Linked DNA regions of Elephas maximus indicus. The protein of the gene in region 2 binds, or shares a complex with, the protein of the main gene of each other region. Links are inferred from orthologs where the notes say so. Each region holds a gene or a part of one and is shown on either strand. Other genes may lie near its edges.

Evidence for each region.
Region 1: STRIP1 (region 2) and STK26 share a complex: the UniProt entries of both Homo sapiens proteins name them as parts of the core of STRIPAK complex. The link is inferred for Elephas maximus indicus from reciprocal best matches to the Homo sapiens genes STRIP1 and STK26.
Region 3: STRIP1 (region 2) and STRN4 share a complex: the UniProt entries of both Homo sapiens proteins name them as parts of the core of STRIPAK complex. The link is inferred for Elephas maximus indicus from reciprocal best matches to the Homo sapiens genes STRIP1 and STRN4.
Region 4: STRIP1 (region 2) and STK24 share a complex: the UniProt entries of both Homo sapiens proteins name them as parts of the core of STRIPAK complex. The link is inferred for Elephas maximus indicus from reciprocal best matches to the Homo sapiens genes STRIP1 and STK24.

The regions. Positions count from the first base shown.
Region 1 is NC_064846.1:24,086,636-24,094,521, forward strand, and holds the start of STK26 (serine/threonine-protein kinase 26), read right to left. Parts: upstream 3,244-7,886; coding exon 3,226-3,243; intron 840-3,225; coding exon 609-839; intron 1-608. UniProt on the Homo sapiens protein: Serine/threonine-protein kinase that acts as a mediator of cell growth. Modulates apoptosis. In association with STK24 negatively regulates Golgi reorientation in polarized cell migration upon RHO activation.
Region 2 is NC_064821.1:171,316,107-171,324,369, forward strand, and holds the start of STRIP1 (striatin-interacting protein 1), read right to left. Parts: upstream 3,403-8,263; 5' UTR 3,379-3,402; coding exon 3,199-3,378; intron 1,092-3,198; coding exon 1,019-1,091; intron 50-1,018; coding exon 1-49. UniProt on the Homo sapiens protein: Plays a role in the regulation of cell morphology and cytoskeletal organization. Required in the cortical actin filament dynamics and cell shape. Part of the striatin-interacting phosphatase and kinase (STRIPAK) complexes.
Region 3 is NC_064829.1:102,263,771-102,271,395, reverse strand, and holds the start of STRN4 (striatin-4), read right to left. Parts: upstream 3,476-7,625; 5' UTR 3,341-3,475; coding exon 3,059-3,340; intron 2,970-3,058; exon of another isoform or gene 2,932-2,969; intron 1-2,931. Other genes in the region: ribitol 5-phosphate transferase FKRP, read left to right, coding at 4,671-4,818. UniProt on the Homo sapiens protein: Calmodulin-binding scaffolding protein which is the center of the striatin-interacting phosphatase and kinase (STRIPAK) complexes.
Region 4 is NC_064832.1:93,223,316-93,230,663, forward strand, and holds the start of STK24 (serine/threonine-protein kinase 24), read right to left. Parts: upstream 3,227-7,348; 5' UTR 2,363-3,226; coding exon 2,285-2,362; intron 1-2,284. UniProt on the Homo sapiens protein: Serine/threonine-protein kinase that acts on both serine and threonine residues and promotes apoptosis in response to stress stimuli and caspase activation.

The DNA.
Region 1 (7,886 bases), on a different chromosome or scaffold from region 2:
TTTTGGGGGGGTGGGGGCAGATATTATTCCATTTAATTTCATCTCAGCAAATATTTATCATGAGCTTAAGATGTGCCAGGTCCTGTGCTAAGTGATACAAAAATCAAGAACGGTTAAGCAAAAATCTCCGCCATCAAAGAGCTCACAACCTGGCGGGAAAGACAGGTATGTAAATAACCTCCCATAACTCAATGAAGTAAGCGATATGCTTACGTTTTCCATCAGTTCTGAGGTTGAGACAGGCAGAACCATGGAGAGTCATGTGTGAAAGCCCAGGGGTATAGCTCTTTCCTGACAAAGGATACATCTGAAGGTCCAGCTGCATTTCTGCTCCTTCATCCCACCAAAAGTTGAGGTGTGGAAAAAGGGTGCAGCTGAGAACTGGGATGCACTCAGGATACAGCTGCTAAATGTAACAACAGTCTATTTGGCACTATAAATGGAGCTGGGGTCTGCCTGGGGGACAAAGGCTGCCAAATCTTAATTTAAGACATTACCTTTCAAAAAAAAATGAATTAAAAAAAAACATTAAGTTAAAAAGAAATAATAATACGTTAAACTTATAATGAAAATACCTTATGACTTAAATAATATAGCACACATATTACCTTTAAATATGACCCATAGTATTTCGTTACGTATGAGCTGTCACACTGACTCAAAACAGTTATCTCTTGCTGAATGTCTTCAATTTCATCTTCGGCTTCCTCTAGGTCTATGATTTTAATAGCAACCACTTGCTGGGTACGGTTATCAATGCCTTTGAAAACTTCTCCAAAGGAGCCTTTCCCAATGCGTTCTAATTTTGTGAACAGTTCTTCTGGATCGGCTATATTATTCTAAGGGGGAAAAGAGATAAAGAGGAAAAAAAAAAGACAAGTGCTTTGAATCAAATGTTTTTAAATGAAGAAAAATAAATCACATAAGACAGTAACACATTTTTTAAAAGCATAAAAAGAAGTCCTTTGACTTGCCGCATGTGCTTTGTTAGAACAATTGTAATCCTCAATGATCCACTAGTCTATATTCTATTGAATCATTCACACTAACTGGGATTAGCTGATCTTCCTACCACAAACAATCCCATACAGCAAATGTTGTCTGAGCTCCCTGCCAAAGGATCAAGCACTTCTTAGAATCAGCAGCTGGTCATATTCAGTTTACACTTTAATAGAAGGGTAGCAATGGTGAGAGAGAGAACAGCTAAATTAAGTGTAGTGGGTTGAATAGTGGCCCCCCAAAAGATATGCCCAAATCCTAACCCCCCCAAAGTTCTGAATGTGACCTTATTTGGGAAAAGGGCCTTTGCAGAGGTAATTAAGTTAGGATCTCGAGATGAGATCATCCTAGATTTTCTGGGGGGGGCCCTAAATCCAATGATCCAAACCCAAACCCACTGCCGCTGAGTCGATTCTAATGTACAGCAACCATGTAGGACAAAGTAGAACTGCCTCCTAGGGTTTCCGAGGCTGTAATCTTTACGAAAGCAGACTGCCACATTTTTCTCCCACAGACAGGCTGGTGGGTTCGAACCGCCTACTGTTCAGTTAGTGACTGAGCACTTAAGTACTGTGCCAAAGTCCAATGGTAGGTGTTCATATAAGAGAAAGGCAGAGAGAGATTTGAGGTAGAGACGCATATAGGGGAGAAGTCAGAGGCAGAGGCTGGAGTGATGCACCTACAAGCCAAGGAATACCAAGGATTGCCAGCAACCATCGCCTGAAGCTAGGAGACAGGTATGGAATGGACTCTGAGAGCCTCCGAGGGAACCAACCGTGCTGACACCTTGATTTCAGACTTCTGGCCTCCATAACTGTGAGAGAATAAATATCTGTTTTAAAGCCACCTAGTTTGTGGTAATTTATTCCCCAACTCACACATCTCAATCATTCCCCGTATACTTCCAAACCACCATCCAAACGACACAGAACACAATAGATTCAAGAATTTAAACTTAAGGAAAAAAAAAAAAAAAACAGAAACAAAAACTCAGGATCCTATCGGCACGTACTGGTCTAGTCCAAGGCTGAAATAAGACGCTATTATTCCTTTGTCACAATTCCTTTCACAACTCATCTCACAGTGAGAATACAGAAGTCGACACTTTGCTGCGATAAAACCTGAACTCAAGCATAGGTTTCTAGGTTAACAAATGTACAGGCATGACTTAGATTTATACATTTGATATTCTTTTCTGATTCAGAAACTATATCCTTTATGTTGTAATATACAATTTTGAATTAAAATTTCACTTGGATGAAACAATCTTTATATCTTTACGTTAACTCATATTGAAGATACACTACTGACCAAGTAGAAACTCAGGATTGAGTCTCCCTCCCCCACCGAAAAGACAGTTTAATAAATTATACTTAAGTGCTTTATTAGTTTATATCTAAAATTTTACTTTGAGTACCTTCAAAATATAGGAGGATTCTATCTAGCTCTGGTGAGCTGTCTATATTTAATTTGCCAGTCAGGCCTAGAATATCTGTTCATTTACCACCATTTTACTTAGCCATCAGTTTCAAGAGATAATTATAGAGTTAGCACATTCCTAATATCTTCCTTGGACCCTGGTGGTGTAGTGGTTAAGAGCTCAGCCACTAACCAAATGGTCGGCAGTTCGAATCCACCAGCAGCTCCTTGGAAACCCTGTGGGGCAGTTCTACTCTGCCCTATAGGGTCGCTATGAGTTGGAACTGACTTGACGGCACCTAACAACAACAAAGGTATCTTCCTTTACTAGACAAATAGGCCATTAAAATTTATTATTTGTCTCTGATCAAGTTCTTGGTGCCATGATTACCAAATAGATCCACTGCTACTCCAGTGAGCTGCCTCCTTTTGAGGTAACTTGAAGACTTATGACTGCTTTTAAAGAATTTCACCAATTTTTCTTTTTTCAGCCTGCTTAAAGTACAGTTTGCACACGACCTGCTTACGTTATAAGCTTCCCCATTCTCCTTGATTGGATTTTGTTCTTTTCTGAAAGATGCCCTTTCCACGTAGCAGTCTCTGATGTTGCAAGCTACTTGTGTATTCCTACCCACCTCTAGTCCCACACGGAGTAAATATATCTTGAGTTTCCCATATATCCATTTAAAACTAGTTTAGACTTCCAGTAGGTTGCAAATGCCTCTTTAACGCTCATATTTTGTTATAATACATTCTCAAAAACTTGAGTACCATCATTATTAATTTCCTTGGCATTCTCTCTCTTACCATGACATTGTACTTCATGCTGATTACTATTACACAGTGGTTAACTCACAGTTACCTCTTTCTACTTCTGGTGATGGTTGTTGCCTTTCTAGTACCTTGTGGCAAAAATACCCATCAAATATCTTAGTGATGGGTTTGCCTCCCTATAACTTCCTAAATTCAGTGGGCTTTGAAAAATAAAAAGAAATAATCTTTCAGTTGTCCTGATGCAGCTGCAAAGCTAGTCTAAAATTTGGAAATAAGTCGCTGGTTAAAAATATATATGTACTTTCTAAAACAGAAATGGATAACACATTCTGGATTGAGAAGTATATTCATTAACTTATAACAAGAATTGTCAGTTGGATTTTCACCTAAAGCACAATAAAAAAATTAAAAGAAAAAAAAATCATCTGTTGTAAAAAACAAAGATTAAATCCCAATCTTCCTAATTAGTGTTTTAAAAGGCTATGACTAAAACAATCAGCTCCAGGGGGGATAAAGCTGTTCCTTGCTTTCTGTACTAAATGAGTTCCTGAAAGTGTGTAGATCAAAGACTTAAAAACCAAGTCACATTTTGCGTTTTAAAGAAGCTCTGAAGTGAATCCCAACTCATCAATATAGTTAAAGATTTTCAATCAAGGAATACCAAGTTGGAGACAGAAACGTTTGCACTTCCCACTCCTCATCTCCCTGAGGGATACAGGTCCCTGTCCTATTTATCAATTCCTAACTCTCTGGGAAGTTCTAGTCTGTCCCATAGGGTCGCTATGCATCAGAATTGACTCAACAGCAATGGGTTTTGTTTTGTTTTATATCCCTGATTTAAAAAACAAAACAGTTGCCATTTAGTCGATTCTGACTCATAGTAACTCCATGTGTCTCAGCGTAGAACGGTGCTCCATAGTTTTCAATGGCTGATTTTTCTGAAGTAGATTGCCAGGCCTTTCTTCAAGGCATCTACAAATGGATTTGAACCTTCACCCTTCCTGTTAGGAGCTGAGCATGTTAACCATTTGTACCACCCAGAGACTCCAAATCTTTCACAGATAATCCCAAAGATCTAATTTCCTGTTCACCATCTCACTGGCTTATTAAATCAAGGTATCCTAAGTAGTTATTAAGACAGATTTCCTTTCTTTTTTTTAGGGAAAGGGCAAAATTCAAGTAAATAACTTGTAAAAATCCCAAAGAATGCAATTAAAAGACCATCTGTATAAAGAAACTGGTTTGCTCAATCATTCACACTACTCTTCAGAGCCTGGAAGAAAATCAAGACAGCTCTCGAAGAAAATCAAGTCAGCTCTCTACATACCTAAATCAAATATTCTTTTACGAATATTAAAATTTCTAAACCTTTTTATGCATAATTAACGGTTACTGTTGCATCTGTGTTTGCATTGCCTTCTGGAAGCAGTAGCCCAGAAAGGAGCTTTAAATTCTGTAGCAAATAGTAGGAACCACTAAATTAACCTCATATTAATTTACAACAAATGGTGTATGATTTGTATATGCCCTGCAAAAATGGATTTATGAAAATGAAAGCCTCTGAGATCCACCTTAGGGCATTCACATTATTCCTGGACCTTCTTTACTGGTCCTTTGGTATGGATTTGGAGACTTCAACTGTAAGTAGACTGTTACAAATTTAAGTCATAGGCCCAACCCAGCCCTTGCATGTTCTTGTTGTTAGGTGCCATCGAGCTGGTTCTGACTCATAGCGACCCTATAGGACAAAGTAGAACTGCCTCATAGGGTTTCCAAGGAGTGCTTGGTGGATTCGAACTGCTGACCTTTTGGGTTAGCACCCTAATGCTTAACCACCAGCCCACCAGGAATCCAGTAAGTCATAGACAGAAGGTATTAATACCATTAAGCAACAACAACGACTACTACTAATCAGTATGGGAATACTCTTTGGAAGCCCCAAAGGAAAAAATGAAAAGCGGTCATCTTGCCCGTCGCCTGTGGAAAATCAGCAGCAGATGAGAGAAGGCCTCTTGCCTACTCACTCATAGAAACAGACGGCTAGAAGAACTCTTAAAGGTTCTCTAGTGCTTGCCAATCCTGGCTGCACATTGAAATTACCTATACAGTTTTTTTTAAAAAAGATGTACATACCTAGGCCCCACTCCAAACCTACTGATTGAGAATCTCTGAGATTGGAGCCCATAAATCAGCATTTTTTTTTTTAAAGCACACCAAATGATTCTTACACAGTCGTTTTGGTATCAGTGTTGAGATCAGCCTTTGGGAACCACTGACCAGACAGATCTGAAATTTGTATCCAGGATTAAAAGGAAACTAATTACCCTCTTTTTCTCAGGCAAGCACACAGCTCTCTTCTAACCCTGTACACTAGACATGAACAACTTGGAGATTAAAATAAAACCAAGAGAACTTTGGTATATATACATATCATCCCCCCGCTCCCCCCCCCCCCCCAAAAAAAACCTGTTGCCAATTCCAACTCATAGCAACCCTAGAGGACAGAGTAGAACTGCCCCATAGGGTTTCCAAGGAGCACTTGGTGGATTCAAACTGCTGACCTTTTGGTTAACAACTGTAGCTCTTAACCACTATGCCACCAGGATTTCCTATATACATAAAAAAATATATAACCCCAAAAAAACCAGTACTTAAAAATTTAAGCTTTTAGTACTTCTTCTAAGTATTCATGTCTAGAATTACTATTTAACCTTAAATAAGACTAGAAACATAATCTTTACCAAAACACAAGCAACTCCGTGTATGTGTTCTTGAACATCTTTTTACCCAATATAGTCCATGTAATATTAGGGTATATTGTGACTGGTGACAGAGTTTTAAGGTAACTTCCAACACTGACAAAGAGTAAAATTTTAGATCTAGTCAGTTAATAGAAAAGGAGTCCAACTTGTTGAGGGGGCATTATGCTGAGTGAAATAAGTCAATCATAGAAAGACAAATATTGTATGATCTCACTTATATAAAAAGACAAGAAAAGGCAAATGTACAGAGAACAAAGTTTATTAGTGGTTACCAGGGGTAGGATGTACCACTAGATGGTACATCTAGAAACTGTTGAATTGGTGTATGTTTTGCTGTGTATATTCTCAACAATAGCAAGAAAATACTTTAAAAAAAAAAATAAGTGATCAGGAGAAATAAGAAGACTGCAGGAAGAGTTAGAATTAACTTTGGGATTCTACCAGAATGAAGACCTGGAGAGCCAAAGGTGAGAAATACCCAAAGATACAGAATCTAATTTCTTTGAATCTGGGGGAGCTAAATAAGACCAGTTGTCTGGGACTGAGAATGAAAGCATAATAGATTTAGGGAAGAGAAGGTAGACTTCTCAGAGAATTTGACCAGGAAGCGTTGAGCGCAGGTGGCCTGAAAGAACCTTCAAGAATTGGAATCAAGCTGAGCAAGGCTAAACTCAGATTATGTTTTGTACCTTCCTCCCTGTCCTATAAAGTCCGTACTATGAATGCTTTCAGCTATAAGATACTTTTACACTTTTCAAGGACTAGCCAGTGTTTTTGCCTACTCACTGATAAGGAGGGTATGCAGGAAATGATTAGCAAAGAATGTGCTATTGGTATCAAGGCTTAGAAAGGAAGACTTCCTACCCCCTTCAAATCCTCAAGTAGAAGTAGCAGGAGTGACCAGTAGTGAACCCAGGCTATCCTTACAATTAATCGCAGGCAGTAACTAAAAACTTTAGCCTAACAAAATGTACTAAAAACTAACGAGAGCTACACCTAGTCAGCTACCTATTTAAATTGTGCAGATTAACTCTTCCAAGCTAGAGATGAAAGGAGCCCTGGTGGTGCAGTGGTTAAGTGGTCAGCTGCTAACCGAAAAATCGGCAGTTCGGACCCACCACCAGCCACTCCACGGGACAAAGATGTGGCAGTCTGCTTCTGTAAACATGACAGCCTTGGAAACCTTATGGGGCAGTTCTGCTCTGTCCTACAGGTTTGCTATAAGTCAGAATCGACTCGATAGCAACAGGTTTTTTGGTTTTTTTTCCAAAGATGAAATACTTTTCTGGATTACTACTATTACCTGTTATCTAATAAGCAGAGTACATATAAATAAAAGTCATTCTCTTGTGGTTTCATGAGCCTTAAATTACTGTTTTAGTACGATCGCCTATATTAAGATTTCGCATTTGCCCTATGACTATTGCCTAAAAAGTTTGTTGAGTATTTCCTAGTGAAGATACTGCCAGAAGAAAAAAAGAAAATATTCCTAGTGAAATTACTGCCAGAAGAAAAAAAAATAAGATTTAAAATCAACAACCACATACTTCTTAGCACTGCTTGAGTTCAGGATCACAGGACGCTATCTTTTAAAGTGCCAGATATGAACCTTGGAGTCCCTGGGTGGTGCAAATGGCTAAGCACTTGAACCTACACAGAGGCACCTCAGAAGACAGGCCTGGCAATCTGCTTCCGAAAGGTCACAGCCTCGAAAATCCTATGGAGAAGTTCTACTCTGCACAAATAGAGTCACCACGAGTTGGAACTGACTCAACGACAACTAACAACAACAATAACAGATATGATCCAAGCACAATTGACTTCTCCCTGGACAGAACTATAGTAGTAAAGGCTTTTAAAGCTGGAAGGAAACATATAGGTCACTTAATCCAACCCTTCACCACCACCATCAGCAACAACCATGCCTACTGT
Region 2 (8,263 bases):
CATTTTCTATTCATCAGAAACTCTGGCCCTTCTGTGTAGCTGTAAAGCTCTGCCAAGAACAAAGTCTCATCACCATCCGTTCCATGTCCGCATTCCACACCCAGCTCTCACGTGCAGCAGGGAAGGTAAGGCATTTGCTTGCAGTCCTAACTCTGCCCGTGAGTCACAGTGACTCCTGGATTATGCTAACTACCTACGGGGCCTTAGCGCTCTCAGGTGTGTGATGAGAGAAGGCTGACTTGCCTCGCAGCTGATAACCAGAATTCCAGTTAAGCAGAAGTCCGGGCATTTCCAGTCTGATGCACATCCATCCCTCCATGCCATACCTGAGGGTGACCACTACCCTGAACATGTGTCTCTCAAGTAGGCACTACCTCCTGTACTATGGAGGCTTGAGAAACAGCTTAAGCTGGCCTCACATCACAGGTGTGCTGCAGCAGCAGCGATGGGTATGCACTGACATAGTCGCACTTGCTGGCATCCCTTGTGACCCACTGCCCGAGGACAGATCACTGCTGGGGGATAATTTATGGAGAGAACATCACTAGCTGTCCCCACATTGGGACTGAACCCTACAGCTAACTGAGCTGACTACACACAGATGCTTCATAAAAGTGATGGGCAACCCCAAGTCATGAGACACTGAAGGCTTGAATTAAATTACTGTATTTTTACACAAATAATGCATACCTTCTGTGTTTTTTTTTTGCCAACTGCACACTCCCTCTACCCCCTACCAGGTATTTCCATAAGCACACTACGCTACCTTTTTTTTTTTTTTGACAGCTGAAAATATCTCCCAGGGAAAGGGCAAGGCTGGCAAACAAACATAGAAGGCACGCGTCATTTATGTAAAAATACGGTTACGTGTTTTATATATCTTATTAGTAGCACTAATTAAAGAAAAAGAAACTTCCAAAATATATTTACACTCTTAATTTTCTGAAAGAATATATCGATAAGGAAAAAAAAAATCTATTTCTTCCATTCCCAACCAATACAAAGTTCTGTGCTTTACCAGAGAGCTCTGCAGCCCACTTGTCTGTGTCTGCATACTCAAACTCAAGGTCTGGCGACTCGGAATAGCCCTGCTGAGAAAAAGAGAGAGCTTTATGCAAAAGATCATTCCGAGCATTGTTAAAAGAAAGAGACATATGCTCTCCAGACACAATGTTGTGTTATAGAACATCACTGTCTCCACTTTTTTGATGTTTTATCAAAATACTTTGTTTCCTGTCCTAGCTTATGAAACCAGGTGTCATCGATTCTGACTCATGGCGACTGCATGTGTGTCAGAGTAGAACTGTGCTCCGTGGGATTTTCAATGGCTGATTTTTCAGATGCAGATTGCCAGGCCTTTCTTCTGAGGTGCCTCTGTGTACACTCAAACCTCCAACCTTTCAGTTAGTAACTCAGCACATTAACCACGTGCATCACCCAGGGAACCCTCTCAGAGCATCTTATACTTTTCCCTCATAGCACTTTTTCGGTGTCAGAATTTTTGTTTAGTGTCTATCTCTCCAGGAGGGTGCAAGTTCCTTGAAAGCAGGAACTTGTCCATTTTGTTCACCAAAGATTTCACAATGCCCAGCAAAGTACCTGGCATGAATGAGTGAATGAATTAATAGTTTATGTCTCAAATAAGTGCTTGTTAGATCAGTGAACACAAAGCTTCTCTGTATTTTGTGCACTGAATGACCACTCTGCACGGTGCTAAGATTCTGGAAGTCTCACGTCTTTCTGGCTACTGGGCTATCAGCAGCTCAGGACAAAGTGGGTGTTGAAGCGCTTCAGCCTTCTTGTCCCTCTCCCCAATTTCAGTGAGAACTGACAGACGGAAAAGGCAGCAGCCTCACAGAATGGCTTCCCTCCCCCACACAGAGGAGAATTCGGCAAAGGAATAGGTGATTATTAAGAAGACACCATCTTGAGAGGTGCATTTTCACAACCCTCCACACCTAAAAAGGTATCAAGTCCTCGCCATGGCCCTCCCACCACCCCACCATGCAAGGGTTCCTGAAAGGTCAATTTCTTTGATTTTTAAACAATTCACTTCAAGCTCAGGGTACCTCTACTTTGGACTTGCCAAATTTTGACATATTTTACCAGACTTTAGGACCGTCAACAAAAAACAGAAGTCTGCGAGGAACTGATTTCACAGGTCTAAAGATAGTATCATCACTCTTTGGAATGACCCGATAGTTTTTCTTGGACAATGATGAATTCTTGCTCATAAATAAGAGCCTGACCGCTTGATCAGCTTCCTCTGAGTTGTCTCAGGTGAAGCCGACCTCATAGTAAGTGCCTGGGAACATGCTGATTAAGAAGTCCTAAAACGCTGCCAAGTGTGTGTCTTCATTCATGAATTCTACAAAAGGAGGCAGTGGGAGGAATTCTTTAACTCGGGGTGAGGTTACGAATCGACCAGCTCCAGACTAGAGGATTACAGTCTCTGGTACTGGAGGAACAGCCCACTAGCAAGAGGGGAGGGGGAAGAGGAGCCCTAAGGAACGTTGAAAATGTACATTCCTGATCTTAACAGTTCAGCATCAGGCGCACTGAGCACAGCAGCCACCAAACACTGTCACATCATGGCCTGAGCCTGCTAAGGAGAGAAACAGGGAGTGTTACTCCCTCCCATTCTTGCAACCTCTGGGAGCTAGTACTATTAGTGATAATTAGCTCCGTCCGGCTTCAAAGAGCCTTTTAAACACTGGCCAGTCCCTTCCCTGCCCACACACGCGGTCCACAGCGCGCTGCGGATCCACCGACCCGGCGCCCGCGCGCCTGGGATCAGCAGCCGAGAGACGACGATCAGGGGATGGGGGCGCAGCCACCTTGGCCCCCTAGAGAGCACGAAGACCGCTGACTCTTCACCCGCGAACTGGGATGGGGAGCTTTCCCTAGGGGCTGGGTCCCCCAGGCAGCGCCCACAGCCCCGTCCCAGAGCAGCAAACCAGCGATCACCCGGCTCCGGGCGGTTCTCCCGTGCGGCAGGGATCCGGGCGGGATCCCGGCTTCACGCCCCCGGCCCGAGGGGGGTGCCAGCCTTGCTTCCTGCTTCTCTCGTAAAGTGACAGCCTCCCGGCCAGGCCCGTCGACCGCTCTAGGAAGCGAGCTTAGACCCCAGAGCGGCCCCAAGTCCAGGACCTCCACAGCCGCCCGCCCGATGCCAGCCTCGCCCCCCGAGCTCCCGACCTCCGAGTCTTTGCGCTGGTTGCGGTTGAACTCTCGGGCTTTGCCCCCGGGCAGGAGGCCCCCGCCGGCCCGCGGTGCCCCAGGTGGAGGCTGCGCGGATGCGGGCGGCGGAGGTGGCGGCGGCTGCGGCTGCTTGTTGTTCACCATCATCGGGATTGGGCCGCCGGCTGCCGGCTCCATCTTGGCTGCTCCACACCCCCGGCTCAATTCTCGGACTGTCGCCGTGACCCAATTCTCGCGTGATTTCCTCCAGGAACTTTCCCTGGTCGCCATATTACGTGTGGCGGCAGGCGCTGGACGCCATCTTGACTGCCCGTCACCTCGCGAGATTCCGTTTGCCTGAAATATTCTTTTCCTTCTCTGCGTTTTTTGTTTCCACGTCTTCCTTCCAGTCCCAATTTAAATGTCATTTTTATCTGTGAGGTCTCCCCTTGGCTCCTTCGGTTAGTTTAGTTTGCCCCCTCCATCGCTGTAACTTCGCTTTGCACTTACCTCTGTTATAGCCCTGTTCCAGGCTTTGGGGATATAGCGGTGAACAAGATGAACAAAGTCCTGGTTTTCCTGGAGTGTACATTCACATGGGGACAGACATACACTAAACAAACAGATGAATAAATAAAGCAGTTACAGTAGTGAGAAGTACTAATTAGTCATTCAACAAACTTTTAATGAATATTTCCTCTGCTCCATTTTTTCCAGGCAGTGGGATAGAATGGGAAAAAAATGGGAAGCAAGTCAAATTTTTGCATGGGTACTTACATAGAGCCTAGTGGGAGAGGCACGCAAATAAACATAACAGGGAAAAAAGTACTGTGAGGAAACAAAAAAGTGTAAAGGATTAGAGGGTGAATGGTGGCTGGAGACTGGGGAAGGGGAAATGCGACTATTTTCAGTAGGCTGGCCAAGGAAGACAGACATGAAGATACACTTTTAATGAGTTCTGGAAGAAGTAAAGGTTCATGGCGGTAACACGGGTAGAAGGACCAGCTACGTGTCGGGGGCCCTGAGGTCATTGTGGCTGGAACAGAGTGAGTCCGGGAAAAAGTGGAAGGAGATGAGGGTCAGATGAGGCAGAGCCTTCAAAGTCACGGAAAGGAGCTTCGATTTTAAGTGAATCGGAAAACTATCAGAGGGTGTCAACCAAGGTGGTGGCATGATCTGATGTTTGAAAGACCACTCTGGCTCCTCTTGGATAAGGGATTGGAGAGTTGAGAGAGTAGATGAAGGTAGGCAGGTTAGGAGGCCATTTTAATGGAGATGATGGCAGTTTGGACTAAGGCTGATATTTCTATATTGTGTAGGTAGAGTTGAGAAGATTTGCTGATAAGCTGGAATGTGGAGGATAAGGCACTGAAGAATAAACGATGAGTCCTAGATTTTTTATTTGAACAACTGGGTGGATGGTTGTCTCAGTTATTAAAATAGGGAAGCCTTAGAGAAAGAACAGGTTTTGGGGAAGATTTTTGTTTTGGACATGTCAAGTTTGAGATGCTCATTAGACATCTAGGAGGTGATATGTAATAATTACCTGTTACTATGTTGTGACATGCTTGGAGACACCTTATCCATTTTTGTCTCTCCAGGACCAATATTGTCCCACCTAAACCAAAACCAAACCAGTTGCCGTCGAGTTGATCGAAGCGACCCTATAGGACAGTGTAGAACTGCTTCATAGGGTTTCCAAGGAGCAGCTGGTGGATTTGAACTGCAGACATTTTGGTTAGCAGCATGATCTCTTAACCACTGCACAACCAGGGCCCCATTGTCCCACCCAGTAGGTGCTTAAAAAGCCTTTGTTGTAAATTAATAAATCCAGAGCCACCATGTTGCTGTTTTCTCCTACCTACCTTCCTGTCCTTTGCCCCAGTTCCCTCTCATATCCAGTAATACCATTTCTAAATTAGCATTTCATCCAAGCTGAACGGAGCCAACTTTATAGGAAAAACTAAGGAATTTACAGGAAAAGGACAAATGTTGAGAGACTTCTTAGATAAAATCGGTAATCTCACACAGCCCAGCATGCAAGCAGACATCTAGTTTCAGTGAACACAGCTTGGTCAAGTTCTAAGACTGACTTATCATAAACTCTATCACCTGGAAAATTATTTTTTAGACCTTCCAATGCCCTATACCGTTTCAACTACATTCAGGAAAGGGGAAGGTTTTGGTTCAGTAATTCCACTTCCAAGAATAGATCCTAAGAAAGTAATCACATATTTAGACAAAGATATATGTATGATGATGTTACCAGCAGTGATACTTTCAAACATGAAAAGTTAGGACTAACCAAATTTGTGAAACAGCCAATAAGAAAGTGGCTAACTGAATAACGGGTATACATAGGATAGAATATGGAGAGACCACTAATATTTGTGCTTAATAATACTAAGAAGAATTTTTAAAGACATGGAAAAATGCTGTGATATAATTGAATACACAAGTGGTTCTGCGTGTGTGTGTGTGTATAGAGAAGAGACTGGAATGAAATACACTGACCTCTTAATAGGTTTTATCTCTGAATCGATGTGATAACATATGTGGCAACATAGGTTATTTTCATTTTCTGTGTACTTTCCTGTGTTTTCAAAATTTTTATATTCAATCTATTTTAACAGCTTTGTTGAGCACATGTTTAAGGTATAAAATCTGGTAAGTTTTAGCATACAAAAACACCCATAAAACCATCACCACCATCAAGATAATGAACATAGTCATCACCCCAGAAAGTTTCCTTGTGGCCCTTTGTAATTCCCCCCCACCCATTACCACTGCTCCCATTTCCAGTCAATCACTGAAAAACTTTGTTACTATAGATTAGTTTGCATTTCTACAATTTCATATAAATGGAATCACATATTATGTATTCTTTTTTTTTTTAGCCTTTCATTCAACATAATTATTTTGAAATTCAAGGTATCAAAGCTCATGAGTAGTATTCCATTGCTTATCTAGTCACCTGTTGATGGACATGTGCATTGCTTCCAGTTTTTCTTGCTTGTTCAAATTCAATATCCACAGGTAACACGGCTTTTTTTTTTGTTTTTTTTTTTAAATAAATGCTTGTGTGGTAACTGGACTAACCCAAAAGCTAAGAAGTTTCCTGAATACAACCAAACACTTCAAGGGACAGAGTAGCCAGGGCTGGGGTCTGGGGACCATAGTTTCAGGGGACCTCTAGGTCAACTGGCATAACAAAGTTTATTAAGAAAATGTTCTGCGTCTCACTTTGGTGAGTGGCATCCGGGATCTTAAAAGCTTGTAATCGGCCCTCTAAAATATATTCATTGGCCCCAACCCACTTGGAGTAAAGGAGAATGAAGGAACACCAAAGACACAAGGGAAATACTACTCAAGAGAAAAAAATGACCACATAAACCAGAGAATCCATCAGCCTGTGACTAGAAAAACTAGATGGTGCCCGGCTACCACCAATGACCGCCCTGACGGGGAACACAACAGGAAGTCCCTGACGGGGTGGGAAAAAAGCGTCACATAAAAAGACCAGACTTAATGGTCTGACTGAGACTGGAAGAACCTCTGAAGCCATGGCCCCCGGATGCTCTGCTAACCCAGAACTAAAACCATTCCCAATGTCCACTCTTCAGACAAAGATTAGACTGGACTATAAAACATAAAATAATACTCCTAAAGAGTGTGCTTCTTAGTTCAAGCAGATACACAAGACCAAATGGGCAGCTCCTATCTGGAGGCAGGATGAGAAGGCAGAAAGGGGCAGGAGCTGGTTGGATGGCCACGGGAAACCTGAGGTAGAAAGGAGGAGTGTGCTGTCACAATGTAAGGACTGCAGCTAATGTCAAATAACAATACCTGTATAAAATTTTGTAGGAGAGATTAACTTGAGCTGTAAACTTTCACCTAAAGTTAAAAAAAAAAAAGAGAGGCTTCTGTGGAAAACTTTCCTGAATGAAGTGCTGTGTCCCCAAGCTGTGACCAGGTCATGAATTCTAAATAGAACTACTTAAACTGGCACCATTTTTGAGTCCCAGAGAGTCCTCACTTTACCTGGCAAAAGCTCCTTGAACTACGCTTCACTTGGCATCTGGAAGGAAAAATAATCCCATAGGAGAGGGAGCCAAACATGTCCCTCTTTTGCTAAGAAGCTACCAGAAAAGCACAACTGAATAGAGGGTAGAAGTTACAGAAACATCTTCAGACTTTTTTATTCCTTCTTTCCTTATCTGTCAAATAGTTCTACCTGCCTTATGAACTGTGGATTAGATGAGTTAATTTATGTGAAGTCATTTTGGAAACTGAAGCATTGTTAAAGAGAGACAGAAAGAGAGTTGTTGTTAGGTGCCATCGAGTTGGTTCTGACTCATAGCGACCCTATGCACAACAGAACGAAACACTGCCCAGTCCTGAGCCATCATTACAATCGTTGTTATGCTTGAGCTCATTGTTGCAGCCACTGTGTCAATCCACCTCGTTGAGGGTCTTCCTCTTTTCCGCTGACCCTGTACTCTGCCAAGCATGATGTCCTTCTCCAGGGACCGATCCCTCCCGAAAACATGTCCAAAGTATGTAAGACGCAGTCTCACCATCCTTGCCTCTAAGGAGCATTCTGGCTGTACTTCTTCCAAGACAGATTTGTTCGTTCTTTTGACAGTCCATGGTATATTCAATATTCTTCCCCAACACCACAACTCAAAGGCATCAGTTCTTCTTCGGTCTTCCTTATTCATTGTCCAGCTTTCACATGCATATGATGTGATTGAAAATACCATGGCTTGGGTCAGGCGCACTTTAATCTTCAAGGTGACATCTTTGTTCTTCAACACTTTAAGGAGGTCCTTTGCAGCAGATTTACCCAATGCAATGCATCTTTTGATTTCTTGACTGCTGTTTCCATGCCTGTTGATTGTGGATCCAAGTAAAATGAAATCCTTGACAACTTCAATCTTTGCTCATTGGTCCAGTTGTGAGGATTTTTGTTTTCTTCATGTTGAGGTGCAATCCATACTGAAGGCTGTGGTCTTTGATCTTCATTAGTAAGTGCTTCAAGTCCTCTTCCCTTTCGGCAAGCAAGGTCGTGTCATCTGCATAA
Region 3 (7,625 bases), on a different chromosome or scaffold from region 2:
CAGAGCCAATTCACACTTTATCAGCATATCTATTCTACTCTTCCTCCCATCTAGGCTACTTTATATTCACACAGGACACAAGGACAATCACGGCAGCCATTTCTGAGAGGGAAAAATCAGAAACTACCTAAAAACCCACCAACAGGGGTCAAATTAAATAAGTGGTGGGACAAACATACAACAGGACACTATGTAGTTATCAAAAATAATGAAGAAGAGCTGTGTGAGGATAGGAAAGGAACATGACACATCATTAAATGAGGAAAGACACAAAGTGATACAGATAGTATTATCTCATATATTAAATACACACATACAACTGAACTACTTTTATAGAAATAACCGTTGAGAAGTGCTGGAGAGAAGAGTAAGGAAGGGGTGAAGGAAGGAGCAAGGGGGGGGCTTTCCCTTTTTAATCATATGTACACTTGTGAGATGTTTGAATTTTTACTAGTGTGTAACAGAACAAAAGGAATCCATGGGTGGTGCAAATGGTTACCGCGCTCAGCTGCTAACCAAAAGGCTGTAGTCCACTCAGAGGCGCCTCAGAAGAAAGGCCTGGTGATCTACTTCTGAAAAATCAGCCACTGAAAACCCTATGGAGCACGGTTCTACTGACACACATGGGGTTGCCACGAGCTCGACTCCACAGCAACTGGGTAACAGAACAAAAGAAAAGTACAAAGTAAGTGATGGGGTCAGCCTTCCTGGGTGCCACCCACCTGTTCTCTTAAACTTCAAGAGTCACCACGTGAGGGAGTACACATACGTTTTTATACTCGTTAGTCTCAAAGATGAGAAGGTGGTATGGTGGGTGCTGCCGGGTACACAGGCGTGTGGCCCAAGAGACCAGGATTCAGTCCAAGCTCTACTTTGACTGTTTGGGTGACTCTGGGAGGCCACTGAGCTTCCCTAGGGCAGTCTTCTCATCTGTACTCGGTGGCAGAGAGGTACGGAACATGGGTTCAAAGTCCAAAGGCCAGCTCTGCCGCTTACGGGCTGTGATCCTAGATAAATTATTTACCCTCTTCAAGTCTGTTTCCTCTTCTGATTTTTTTATGGGGGGAGGGGCTAAATATCACTCACTCTCCCAGACTATTGCAAGGATTAAATGATAGCGTGTATTTAAAGTACTTAATACACTGCCTAGCACATTATAAATGCTCAATAATTGGCAGCTGCTATCATTATCGAAGGAGCCCTGGTGGCACAGTGGTTAAGCACTCAGTATGAACCCACCAGCCACTCTGCAGGAGCAAGATGCAGCTGTCTGCTTCCGGAAAGATTACAGCCTTGGAAACCCCATGGGGCAAGTTCTACTCTGTCCTACAGGGTTGCTATGAGTCGGAATCAACTCTCCAGCAATGGGTTTGATTTTTTTGGTTTTATCATTATGAGGGTAATGACGATGGCCCTGCCTACCTCATGGGGTGTTGAGAGGATCCAATGGCATGTAAACTGGGAAAGAGCTTGAAGAGTACAGAAATGAACACAGAAGCGAGGGGCACTTACATAAGGATTCCTCCCCCAGCCCAGCCCCGAACCTCCGCTACCACACAGCTAAGATGCCCAGTGGGGTCGGAGAACTGTGGGATGTATTCAGATACCTTGAATTTGGAGGAGAGAGGCCTCTATTCACACTATAGATAAAATTTTTGTTATTTATTTATTTAAGTCTCCACCTCAGGTACATAGGAAACAGCAAATCAGCTGAGGAAAGACGGGCTGCTAGAAGCAGGTACTGACAACCTCTACCAATAATACCCCAGGCCAGGAACCCTCAGACACCTCATGCTGTCCCTGGACCCCTTCAGATTCTCACATCTCTGATCCCCAGGATCCACTAAAAAAAAATAAGCACTGTGCAAATGGACCCATGCTCCTCAAGGTCACAAAACCCAGCCCAACTCCCCGGCTGCTTCCACCCATCATCCCAGGGCACATCCCTCTTCCAAACTACTCCACAAACACATTTCCCCCAGGATCCTTCTGAGATGCCTCCTCCCCAGATGCCTCCTCACTGCCCCCATCCCAGGTCTCCTCCTTTCTACAGTATGCATGCCTGACACCCCACCTCTCCAGCTTAAGGTTCTCTATCTAACATCCTCCGCACGTCTCCCGTCTCACGGCCAGCCCCCTACTCCTCCACACCCCCAAACTGGAGTTTCCTTCTCAAGCTCTTCCACACAGGCTCCTAGGGGACATCCTCTGCCCTGTCCAAATCTCCATGCAAAGGATCCCTTCCCCAAACTGTGACCATACATGCCACAACTCGCCAAAGTTTTCTCCCTACAGGGGAGGGTACACACCTCCATCCTGGACCCGTCGGATCCGCCTCTAACTCCAGTCCTCACACAGACATCTTTTAGTGCTCCCGTCCAAACGCTCCCAAACATGCCCCATCCCAGGCTTCTGACACCCTCTCTATCATCCCGGTTCCCCGCTCGGACTCGTCCGCGCCCTCAGCGGGTCCCAAGTCCTCGTAGACATCCCCTCTCTCCCACCCGGAACCATCAGACTCCACCTCCATCCCTCGGTTGGTCGGGGAGGAGGTGGGAGTCCCTCGGTACCCCTTCGGCTGCCTGCAAGCTTTTGCTCACTTCCATGCGAAACCACTCGGATCTCTCTCAGACCCCTCAAACGCCTCTCACAGTCTTCCTGTGAGTTCCCTTAGGTTCCCCTCCCGCCCCAAGTCCCCTTCCCTGGGGAACCCCTCGGCCGGGCGGCTCACTCCCACTGCTGGCCGGGTCAGGTCTCCTCCCGCCCCTTTCTCTCTGCCGGTCCCAGTCGGTCCCTCCGGCCCCCGGGTCTCCCCTACACCCAGTTAGAGCCGGTCCCAGCCCCCAGATTCCCTCAGGATCCCCCTCAGACGTCCCCTCACTCCCTGTGCGAGCCGGCAGCGGTCCCCTCCCGCCCCCCCGGCTGTCCCGGCGGCCATTGCTCCAAGATGGCGGCGGCGGCGGCGGCGGGTGAGGCGAGGCCGGGCCGGGCCGGGCCGGGGGCCGGGGGCCGGGCGGGGGGCCGGGTGGGGGTGCCGGGGTCCCGGGGCGGCGCTCACCTGCAACTCGGCGCGTTCGGCCTCCCAGCGGGCCTTCTCAGCTTCGAAGCGCGCCCACTCATGCTGGATAAAGTGCAGGATCCCGGGCAAGCTCAGGGGCTCCGGCCCCGCTGTGGGCCCGGGGCTGCCTCCGCCGCCACCACCCTTACCTGCCGGGCCGGGCCCGGAGGCAGGGGCAGGGGCCGGGGCCGCCCCGCTCGGGCCAGGGCCCGCACCGGAGCCCAGCGGGCGGCAGGAGGAGGCGGCGGCGGCGACCGCAGCGGCCGCTCGCTCCTCCATCATGGAGGCCCCGGGGCCGGCCCGCGCGCCCGCTGTGCCTCGCGCGCCTGCGCGGCCGCGCCAACCTCTGCGCGCGCGCCCGGCGGGAGGTGGAGGGGCAGCAAACGAGAGCGAGGCCGGGCGCGCGCCTCGCCCACCGGGGTCGACCCCGAAAGCGCGCGCGGGGGTGGGCGGGAAGGGTGGGCGGGGCGCGAGGCTCCCCGTTCGGAGAAGCGAGTCTTTGGGAGGGGCCACTTTTTGCCCCCTCCTCTCGCGTCGCCCAATAGAGAGTGTCTTACCCTCTCCAGCCCCAAATACCACTCCCCTCGACAATCACTTTCGCTCTTTGAGAGAAAGGGTGACCACGGGGGGGTGGTTTCGGCCGTGGCACCTTCCTGATTTCCTGGCCCAGGGCGGTTGTCATGGTAACCCTTCCCCCCAGCCTAGGGCCCCCCCCCGCGCGTCTTTCCTCTCCCCCACCTTTGTGGCTATGGACCCCCACATACCTGGAGGAGGTGCTAAGGTAATCTTGGTCCTGATGGGCCTTCTGCCCCTAACGACCGACCTCGGTTACTATGGCATTCCTCCTCACCTAGCACCCAGGTAGAAGAGACCCCGAGCCCCAAGAAGACTAATGGCTGAGAAGCACCTTTTCCTTAACCCCCCACACCACCCAGTTGGAGTTGCCATGGTAACCATCACCCTCTTTTCCTTCGTGGGAGGCCCCTGGGCCAAACCAACCAGGTGTTTTTATTTAGAGGAAGAGATGCTCTGATGAGGAGTAGTTGTTATGGTTACAGGGCCTGGACCATCCCCAGGGAGGTGAGAAACAGGCAAAACCAAGCCCTGGTTGCTATGGTAGCAGGGTCAGTCCCCTTCCAGTGACCCTAGAACCAGGCCCCAGAACCCTACCAAGGTAGGGGACATTTTAGGATTGTCTTTTGAGTTGGAACATGTCTAGGGAAGGGGTTGTCATGGTAACAGCTTCTGTCACTTCTAGCCCCACCTTTCTGGACACATTCATGAGAGGGGAGGTTACAGATTGCTATGGTAACTGACATCCTTCCCACTCCACCCTCTCCCCCTCCTGAGACGCGCCAGGTGGTGCCTGAGCTTATGGGGCATCCAGAGAAAGGATTTCCCGATCCTCTTGTTGCCACTTTTGTAGATAAGATGAAACCGTGCTGTGTACTAAGGAGCCCTGGTGGTGCAGTGGTTAAGCACTCAGCTGCTAACCAAAAAGTCGGCAGCTCAAACCCACCAGTGGAGAAAGATGTGGCAGTCTGCTTCACTGAAGATTTACAGCCTTGGAAGCCCTAGGGTCATAGGGTCACTATGAGTTCAAATTGACGTGATGGCAGTGGGTTTGGTTTTTGGTTTTCAGGTGCTCTATTCTCCAGAATTGGCTGATTTGGGGTTCTCTGGTTCTCCTTCCCACAGCAATGCAGCTGAGCTGTGCTGGAACCACCCCCCGGGAGTCCCCCCACCGTGCAACCTAGGAGGTAAGAGAAAAAAAGCCTCTCAATGCCTCCAGCACTTGCATAGAAACTGCCGTGTCTTCTTTCACAAAGCCTTTCCCACACACCTCATTTTCTCTACCCTCACATTCCTATCCTACAGATGCAGCAACTGAGGCTCAGGCCAGATCAAAGCTCGGGCCTAGGGAACCCAGGCCTAAAGTGACTTGGGATCCACTTAAAATGTTTTGTGGGAAATGGGGAGACAAATAAGGTCTTAGCTTAACTGTCCTCTCCTTCCCTGACCACATTTTCTAAAGCAAGCCCCTTGTTTTTCTCTGTTACGGCCCTCTGTTTTCCTCCTTATCTGTGGCGCAGCAGTTAAAGTGATCTACTGCTAACCTAAAGGTCAGTGTTTTGAAACCAGCAGCAGCTCCTTGGGAGAAAGATGTGGCAGTCTGCTTCTGTAGAGATTATAGTCTTGGAAACCCTATGGGGTCACTATGAGTCAAAATCGACTCGACACCTGTGGGTTTTTTTTTTTTTTTTTTTTTCTTACCTTGCCAGGACAGATCCAGTGTCTCAGTTTCTTAGTGCTGATATAATAGAAGTACCACAAGTAGGTGGCTTTAAGAAACAGAAATTTGTTTTCTCACAGTCTATCTTCGTTAGGTACTGTGGAGTTAGTTCCAACTCACAGTGACCTTATGGGCAGCAGAACAAAATGCTGCCAGGTCTTAACAGTTCCGGAGGCTAGAAGTCTGAATTCAGGACACTGGCTCTAGGGGAAGGCTCCCTCTCTGTGGCCTCTGGAAAAAGATCTTTATTTTATTAAACTTCTGGTCCAGGGTTCCTTGGAGATCTTGTGATGTCTGTCTTCTGTGTTTGTCCTTCCCTCTCTGTGCCTAATCTCTTTTTGAATCTCAAAACTGATTGGCTTAAAACACACCCTATACTAATGTTGTCTCATTAACATAACAAAGAAGGTCCTATTCCCAAATAGGATTACATCCACAGGTTACCTGTTGCCATCAAGTTGATTCCGATTCATAGCTTCACAGTGACCCTGTAGGACAGAGTAGAACTGCCCCATAGGGTTTCCAAGGAGCACCTGGTAGATTCAAACTGCCGACCTTTTGGTTAGCAGCCATAGCTCTTAACCACTGCGCCACCAGGATTCCGTATCCACGGGTGGTCCCCGATTTATGATATACTTGAGTTTCCAGTTATGAGGAACCATACTTACAACCATTTTTCTTTTTTTCTTTTTGGTACATCTTATCATTAGTAACGTACTACATACAGTGTCGCAGCATGTAATATGCTGATGTCATTCTCAGACGTTCACTCGCAGAGGTTCAGTGTGTTCAAAACACTGCCATATATAGCAGGCTATGAAAACGTAAAAGAAAAAAAAGATATTTGACTTACACCAACTTATGTCAGAACCGACCTACGACAGACTCATCAGAACAGAAACCCATCGTAAGTCAGGGACTGCCTGTATAGGGTCTAGGGTTTACAACACATATTTTGGGGGGAATACAATTCAATCCATAACACCCAGTGACTATCTTGTTCATCCCTGTGTCCCCAGAACACAGGGTCTGGCACAGAGGGCACTTGATAAATATCTGTTTGTCGAGTTGATGAGTTGAATGGTTAGGGCTGGGGAAGGTATGCCAAAGACAGACTGAGGGTCAGGCTGGCTGACTGGACCAGTGAGAGACAGTGGAGTTCATTGGTTTATAGAGCACAGACTCTGGAGCCAGCCTTCTTTGGGTTAAGGCCAGCTGTGTGACCTTGAACAAGTGACTTCACTTCTCTGTGCCTCAGTTTCTTCATCTCTAAGTGTGACCATTACATGAGGATTAAACAAGTGAATACATACAAAGTGCTTAGAACAGGATCTGGTACATTGTGAGCTGGTAGAATTGTTGATACTATCATATCATCCTGATTCAAAAAAATGTAGAATATTTGGACCTTCAAAATCATTCCATACGCCGTGCCCCAATGAAGAAGCCCTGGTGGTGCAGTGGTTAAGTGCTCAGCTGCTAACCGAAAGGTTGGTGGTTCAAGCTCACCCAGCAGCTCTGTGGGAGAAAGACCTGGCAATCTGCATCCATAACAATTCCAGCCTAGGAAACCCTATGGGGCAGATCTACTCTGTCATATGGGGTCGCTGTGGGTCAGAACTGACTCAATGGTATACAACAACACAGTTAGGGAAGCCAAGACTGACCTTGTCAGGGTTCCAGAAGGCTTCCTTTCTCCTCTCTGGTCCCCTCACACCCTCACCAGCAGGTAGCACCTCCTCATCGGGGCATCAAACCCTCTGGGGACCTGGTGCCTGTCCTGGGGTACGCCTCCTGGTCCAGAGTCTGCAGACATAGCATGGCTGGGCTCTGGTCTCTGTGTCCTTTTCTGTCTCTGAGTGACACGTTCCCCATCTTAATAATTTATTTCATTCTTTCAACACTATTAAGCCCCTGTAATGTGCCCGGCAGGATCCCTGGTGGTGTAGTGGTTAAGTGCTATGGCTGCTAACCAAAAGGTCAGCAGTTCGAATCCACCAGCTGCTCCTTGGAAACCCTATGGGGCAGTTCTACTCTGTCCTTTAGGGTCGCTATGAGTCAGAATCAACTGGACGGCAGTGGGTTTGGCTTTTTTTGGTTTAAGAGCCCCTGGATGGTGCAAAAGTTTAAGTGCTTGGCTACTAACCATAAAGGTTGGTGGTTCGAATCCATCCAAAGGCACCTCAGAAGAAAGGCCTGCGGATCTGTTTCTGAAACATCACAGCCATTGAAAACCCTACAGAGCGCAGGTGTACTCTGACATCCATGGTGTCT
Region 4 (7,348 bases), on a different chromosome or scaffold from region 2:
CTATTTACCCAGAGCAACAGAGGAAGGAGGAGTCAGGAGTAGGAGGAAGATATGGAATGTGTGCCTAATTGTCTCCATGAACGACTGCCTCCTTGACATGAGACCAGAAGAACTGGATGGTGCCCAGCTACTATCACTGAACATTTTGATTGAGGATTTCATAGAAGAATCCTGATCAAAGGGGGGAAAATGTAATACAGAATTTCAAATTCTCATGGACTGTAGAATTTCTGGAGCCATGGAGGGCAAATGAACCCCTGAAACTATTGCCCTGAGATAATCTTTAAACTTTGAAGCAAAAATATCCCCTGAAGTCATCTTAAAACGGAACAATAGTTTAGCTTAATTAACCAGTAAAAAAGGTTCGCCTTGAGCATTATGCTCTTTACAAACTACCTAAAGGGATCAGACTAACAACAGTAACTTGAAAGGTTAGATAGGAACCTTAGGGGGCAGTGAATTTATGTTAATGGGGGAAGAACAACTCAGAAAAGGAGGGTGAGAATGGTTGCCCAACTCAAAGAATTAATCACTGTCACTAAATTGCACATGTAGAAACTATTGAATTGGTGTATGTTTTGCTGTGTATATGCTCAACAACAGCAACAAAAGAAATAAAACTTTGAGAGAAACACAAAATGCCAATGACACCCTGCTGAGAAGCACTAACCTGGGCCAACAGAACCCCACAGGATAAGGAGTTGTCAACCCTACAAAATACATCTTCTCTCACAAACATCCCCTATGAGGAAGAGGATTCCAGGCTAACCCTCAGAAGTCTACTAATCACTCAAAGAAACTGAAATATTATGAAAAAAGAAACAAGGGGGAAAAAAGGATTGAAAATGAGAAAAAGAAAGACAAGAAAGAGAAGGAAGAATAAAGGGAAGATGAGATACCCATAGACCAGCAAACTGAAGTGGGTCATCTACACAATATTAGGGTAGTCTCAGCAGCATGCTGACAACTAACAACAACGAGTTAAATGAGCTTTATGGGCTGACCAGGTGCTAACCACTAACTTGCTTTCGAAGGTGAAGCACACTGAGCTCCAAGCAAACCGACTGAGAAGGAACTCGTCAAAAACAGCACATTTCCAATTTGGAGGCCTTGCTGTGCTATACTCTACGTGAACCAAAAACCAAAACCCAGTGCCATGGAGTTGATTCCGACTCATAGCGACCCTATAGGACACAGCAGAACTGCCCCATAAAGTTTCCAAGGAGCGCCTGGCAGATTTGAACTGCCAACCCTTCAGTCAGCAGCCGTAACACTTAACCACTATGCCACCAGGGTTTCCATAGTCTACATACACTGTGAAAATAACATACCACGGTCATACAAGGGTGACTTTGTTAACACAAAGTGAGGTAGAGTCCAAGCGCTATGGTGAGGCTTCACACTGAGCAATGTAAAAGCTCATAAAACCCAGCAACCAAGTCAGTAAAAATGAACAAGGTACGCTCTGGGGTTGCTAGGAAAAAAAGGACACGATAGAGACGGTGTCATTTAGAGTTCTGCCTGCTCTGGAAGTGGGCTGGCCTCCTTAATGTATGGTTTAAAAAACTGCCAGGAATTACAAGTACCATACTTTTAACCAGGATTCCCTTAGCTCATAAAATGAAACAAACATTCATCTGCAGAAAATGAAACTATCTGTTCACCTTCATTTCCACTTGAAGTACTGCACTAAATACATCGACCGGGTTATTAATATTGAGATGCATTTTTTTTTCTTAAGCAATTTCTAAACAGTTTTCAATCATGGAGTTGGGTTTCTAACGTCTTTTATATACCAAATGGACCCAGGATGCCTGAATATGCATTCCAGACTTTACAAAACACTGACCTTGATTCCTTGGTTTACCAAGATAATCACTGACAAGCAGTCAGGAGCCCTGGGTAGTTTTTATTAAGTGAGGATTGTTTTTGAAGCTAGTGGAAACCCCTAAAATATCCTCTATTCATACAATTAGAAATAAGAATTACTGTTTTCAAATTTATAAAGTACTCCAAATTAAGAACCCTTCAAAGCAATTTTGGGGGCCACTCCCACTGAATCCCAAGGAACCCTTGGTGGGTGTGTCCCATTCCACTCAGCCTGCATACACCTGCCCAGACTGAATCTCCACTGTCACCGTCATCTCCGACACAAACTGCTAAGGATTAAAGGATTCTAGGGGGTGGGGAGACAGAAGAAACATTCATTTCCTTATTTAAGTACAAACAAATACAGCAGTGAGTGGCTGACGCTCACTTTCCACAGCTACAATCTTTCCCTTACCTCCTTCCTCCCAGGATGAGGTAGGATGACCCTCTTCTTTTTCAAGACCAATCCTAAAAGCTGGGCTTTAGAATCCATCCTTCTCTCCTCCAGGATACAGCTTCACCAACTTCAATTTATCCCACTCTACTGGCTCTTTGCCCTTGTCATATCAACGTGCTCAAGTTTCTTCAGTAAAAAAAAAAAGTCCTTGACCCTGGTCATTCCTTCACTCCTTCCTCTGTAGTTCCGTTCAAGAGGAGGTCCCCTGAAAGTCATCAGGACCAGCCAAGTCTCCACCTACCACCGGACTCACTCCTCAGCCCACTGCAGCCTGGCTCTGCCCTCATCACAGCCCTGAATCAGCTTTCGCATGGGCACCGATGACGCCATTTCTGCATCTCCTCTGTGGCAAGCTATACACTCAGTAGCCACACACTCCTCTGAACTTTCCACTCCCTTGGCAGCTGCAACCCTGCTCTGCACTGTCTTTGTCCAACCTCCCTAGTCCTTCTAACAGAAATCTTCACTTGTAGACTCTACCCTTGCCAGACCTTCCACGCAGACAGTCCCCAAGACTCTACACCTGGCCTCCTGTCCTTCCCAGGGTTGTCATACACAGGCCCATGGCTGGGGGCCGTGCTTCCCAAACCTGCCTGGTGAAAGTCACCTGGGAAACTTAAAGAAAGAGATCCCAGCACGCTTGCAGACATACATGGGGGAAAGCACACAATCCACCTTTTAAAATGCTCCTATTGATCATCATGAACAGCCATCTCAGTAGAGAAACTGTTTAAAATTATTGTGTAAATGATAACTTTCAAATTGTTATCTCCAGCACTGCCTTTTGAGTTTTAACTCCTAGTACCAATTACTAGATATTGTCTCTCTCTACCTGGACATCTCAAGGTCAACATGGACAGAGTGAATCTGCCATTTTACCTGTTGAACTGGACCCTCCCTGCCATCTTCTCCCTGCTTCTCACCCATCCCCTTTTTTAAACTCTGTATCTACGGCATGTCACTGATGGTCAATAAACTTTCCCTCAACAATAAGGAAACCCCAGGTTTACAGTGACACAAATGAGATTCTGGTTAGTATTACAGAGAATATCCTAATTCAGAGAGACAGGAGGCCCTGGGAAAAGGGGCATAAGGATGACAACATCTCTGGCTAACAAGGGTAAGGAACAGGTGATGAGGGCCTGACTTTGCTAAGTTGGGAGCAGTCGTTCGCAAATCTCAGTCTGCATCAGGGTCACCTGGAGGGCTTGTTAGAACACAGATCTGGGGAGGGGCATTTCCAGAATTTCTGAATTTGGTAAATGTGGGGTGGAGGCCAAGAATTAGAGAGTTTCCAGGAGATGCAGATGCTGGTGGTCCAGGGATCACACTTTGAGAGCCGCTGCTTAGACAAAACGTGAAGAGAAGCAAAACAGCTTTGACAAGTCGATGTGCCACTAAAAAATGACTTGTTTTAGGTCAACTTCAACCTGACTATTCCCCTGCCCATATTAAGAAAAAAAGTAGCATGTCCTTTCTGAGAGTTAAATAAGAAAAAGAAGCCAACAAGAATTTATCCAAGCCCCTACAATGCTGGAAAGGTGCTTGACTGGAAACTCTGATAGACTGCCATGCCTCCCAGTGCCCACACCCTCTTTACACCATGGCTTTGGCACTCCTCCCTCCAAGTCAAGAAATAGAGTCTACTTCCCCATCTCTTGAACCTTGGCTGGCCTTGTTACCTGTTTTGACCAGTAGAACCTGGCAGATGTGATGATGTGGGGCTGCCAAGCCAAGGCATCAAGAGGCCTTGCAACACTCCCTTCTTCCAACCGTGCGACGACCAGGCAGTGAAAAAGCTCAGAATCAAAGACCGTGCAGTGAGCGAGGCCCATCCCAGCCACTTCACTGATCCTACTTCAGATCCCGGATATGTGAATGAGGTCACCATAGACCATCCAGCCTCAATCATGCAGCCACACGCTCACTGTAGCCACTAGCTGATTGCAGCCACATGAGGGAGCCCGGAAAAGGCCAGCAGAACCGCCCAGTCAATCCACAGAATGGTGAGAACTAGTTAATCGTTGTTATAACTAGGTTTCAGTTGGTTTGTTATAGGAAATAGATAATTGATACAGAAATTGATACCTAGAAGTACGGTAACAAAAACCACCTGTTGCCATGGAGTTGATTCTGACTCACAACAACCTCATAGGGCAGAGTAGAACTGCCTCATAGGGTTTCCAAGGAGCAGCTAACCTTTTGGTTAGCCAAGCTCTTAACCAGTGTGCCAGTACTGCCCTTAAAAGAAGCCTAAAATATGGAGGCAGTGGCTTTGGGACTGGACTGGCCAAAGGCTGTAAAAGCAGTGTGAGGAGGCCATTCGCACAGGGTAGAGGAATGGCAAATAAACTGTTAGTGCAGGGAGAGGTGGTAAGAAACTTATTAGAGGCTGGTAAAGAACGACCCATGGTATGTAGTGGCGGAACAATTAGGAAAATGTCACTGCAGGAAAAAGGAAAAAGAACTGCAGGAAAAAGGAAAAAGAAATGGCTAAAGAGATTTCTAGATAGAATGTTGAAAGGACCAACGAGGTTTGGTTTTGTTTTGTTTGTTTGTTTTGCTTAGTAGGAAGAGATATATACTAAAGCAGGAAGTGTTCAGTTTAAAAACAATTTAGAGAAAATACGGAAATATGGACAGGACTTGCTGGGCTACAAAATAAAACTGTGCTTTACCTAGGAGTTCCTCAAGCCAGTAAAGATCCTAAAGGAAAGGCCTTAGGGTAGAGATCAAGCCAAAGGTGTGGCTGTTAAGCTCCTTCTTCAAGACCCTGGAAAATTCAAGGCAGTGACCAGTAGAGACTCTCAACTAAAAATGGGCTTTTAACAAACTTAAGGACGTCATCCAACCGTGCCCTGACACACTTCCAAAGTAGAAAGATACTTATATCTCAAAAGTACTGTAGATGTGGTGTTTATCCAGTTAGTGGACTATAAACTGGTACACAGGAAACCCTCAATGTTTTTAATCAAATCTGGATTAAAAGGCAGCGAGACAGTTCATATCAAAATATCCTCTAGGTCCCCAACTTTCTACAAGCAGGAAGCAGGCTGAGAAAGCTACTAAAGAGGATGTAGCAAAAGTGATGTTGTGAGCATCTGAGGACAGGCCTGGGAGGGCAGAGCCAAGAGCCCAAGACTCCCAGAAAACCAGCTAGGGAACCACGCTGCTGCGGTTGTCAGGTGCTGTGGCATACCACTCTCAGAAAGCAAACCTGAGCCTCAATTAAGAAATACTCCCTGCTCCGCATGGACGGGACCCAGGCAGCTTGTGCCACCTGGACTGCTGAACTGCTATGTACTCTTTAACTCCGTTTGTTTACTGATATATGCCTCTCACGCCTCCCCCTCTGAAACAGAAGTATCCCCTGCAGTTATTCTGTTCCTGTCTTGCCGCTGTTCGCGGGATATATGGGGGGGCAGGTACGTCTTTCTCCTTACACCTCTCTGAATCAAGAGACCATGCCCACGGAGTTGCCACCTATCAGCTCCCATGCATTCAGACACAATGCAGATGAGAGATTACAGACTGAGTCGGAGGCTACGCCAGGAGGAAAGGAGGGTACGGGAGAGAGACATGCATACCTTGCATGTGGGAGAGACATCGATCCTTAGGACCAGAAGGCAAACTGGAGTCAATAGTTACAGTCAGGGCCCCAAAAAAACGACCCCGGCTGCCATGTCCATTGCCTTGGTGGCTCAGTGGTTAAGAGCTCAGCTGCTAACCAAAAGGTCAGCAGTTCAAATCCACCAACTGCTCCTCAGAAACCCTATGGGGCAGTTCTACTCTGTCCTACAGGATCGCAGTGAGTCCGAAACAACTCGATTGGCAACAGTTTTGGTTTGTTGTTTTTTTTTTTTTGACCACCACGTCCACACTCCTATGCAACTCTACCTCCTCCTTCCACAAAAAGGCAGAGGCCCTTTCCCGCCCCCTGAATCTGGCCTCGCCTTGTGACTTCCTGTGATGTTTGCTATTTGCAAGGTCAAGCCTTAAGAGAATCTGTAGGTTTCACTTTTGACTTCTTGGAATGCTTCCCCAACACATAAAGAGGCCCATCTAGCCCAGGACAGAAGCCACACGTGGAAGAACAGAGGTACTAAGGTAAACACTCCGGCCCACTGCTGGGCATGGAACAAGGTGCTCAGCCTACCCACCTCTCTGTTCCTGCTGAGCCCTGGCCCCAGAAGTCTGCCACTACGGCCACATGAGTGAGCCCAGGCGAGACTGCAGGAGGACCCCCAGTCGACCCAAAGAATCTCCAGAACTCCTGAGTCATTCCTGTTTTAGGCCAGAAAGTTTCGGGTGACTTGTTACACAATAATAGATAGCTGAATTCAGTATTTTTCAGTACAGTAGGAAAACATCCATTCCTGGAGGGAAAAAAGGCAGATGTTCCATGCTCTGGGAGGGGGGGAAGGTGTTTCATTTTAATAAACTGCTTGTTTTTCCCTTTTCCTAGTCTAAGACAGCTTAGGAGACAGCTGTTCCTACTACTTTTACTATCCTCCCAGAAGACCTTCTCCAGGAGCCTGCCACCTGTAAACTTAGCCATAGTTTGTTTCACGTCTGCTCACGAGCGTTCTGTCTCAGTAAGAGCTCTACTTCGCTGCTGTAAACTTGGCTACGAACTGCCCTTGGCAAGCAGGGAGACATCTGCCAAGGCAGTGACCACAGGGCACTAAACAAGGCAGGGCTCAGCCATGGCCAGCATTCCGTGCCCGCTGGCAAGTCTCACATAAACTCATTGTCACACAACACTGTCCCGCGGCCATAAGAAAACCAACATCGAAGATGACTGATTTCAAAAAGGAACCTCAAGATTGTATTGTCAGAATTTGTTCTCTGAGGAAAGCTGGTCTCCTTGGTAGAAAAAGTGCCTTTTTTGCCAACTATTTTGAGAATTCTTTTTTAGAAAGGTTTATCCTGAACTAAGCACTGCTCAGTCTCAAGTTAGATGGGTCTACCGGCCTTCACCCCTGCACATCTAACTATCCTGAAAGGGAGAAGAGACCTGGC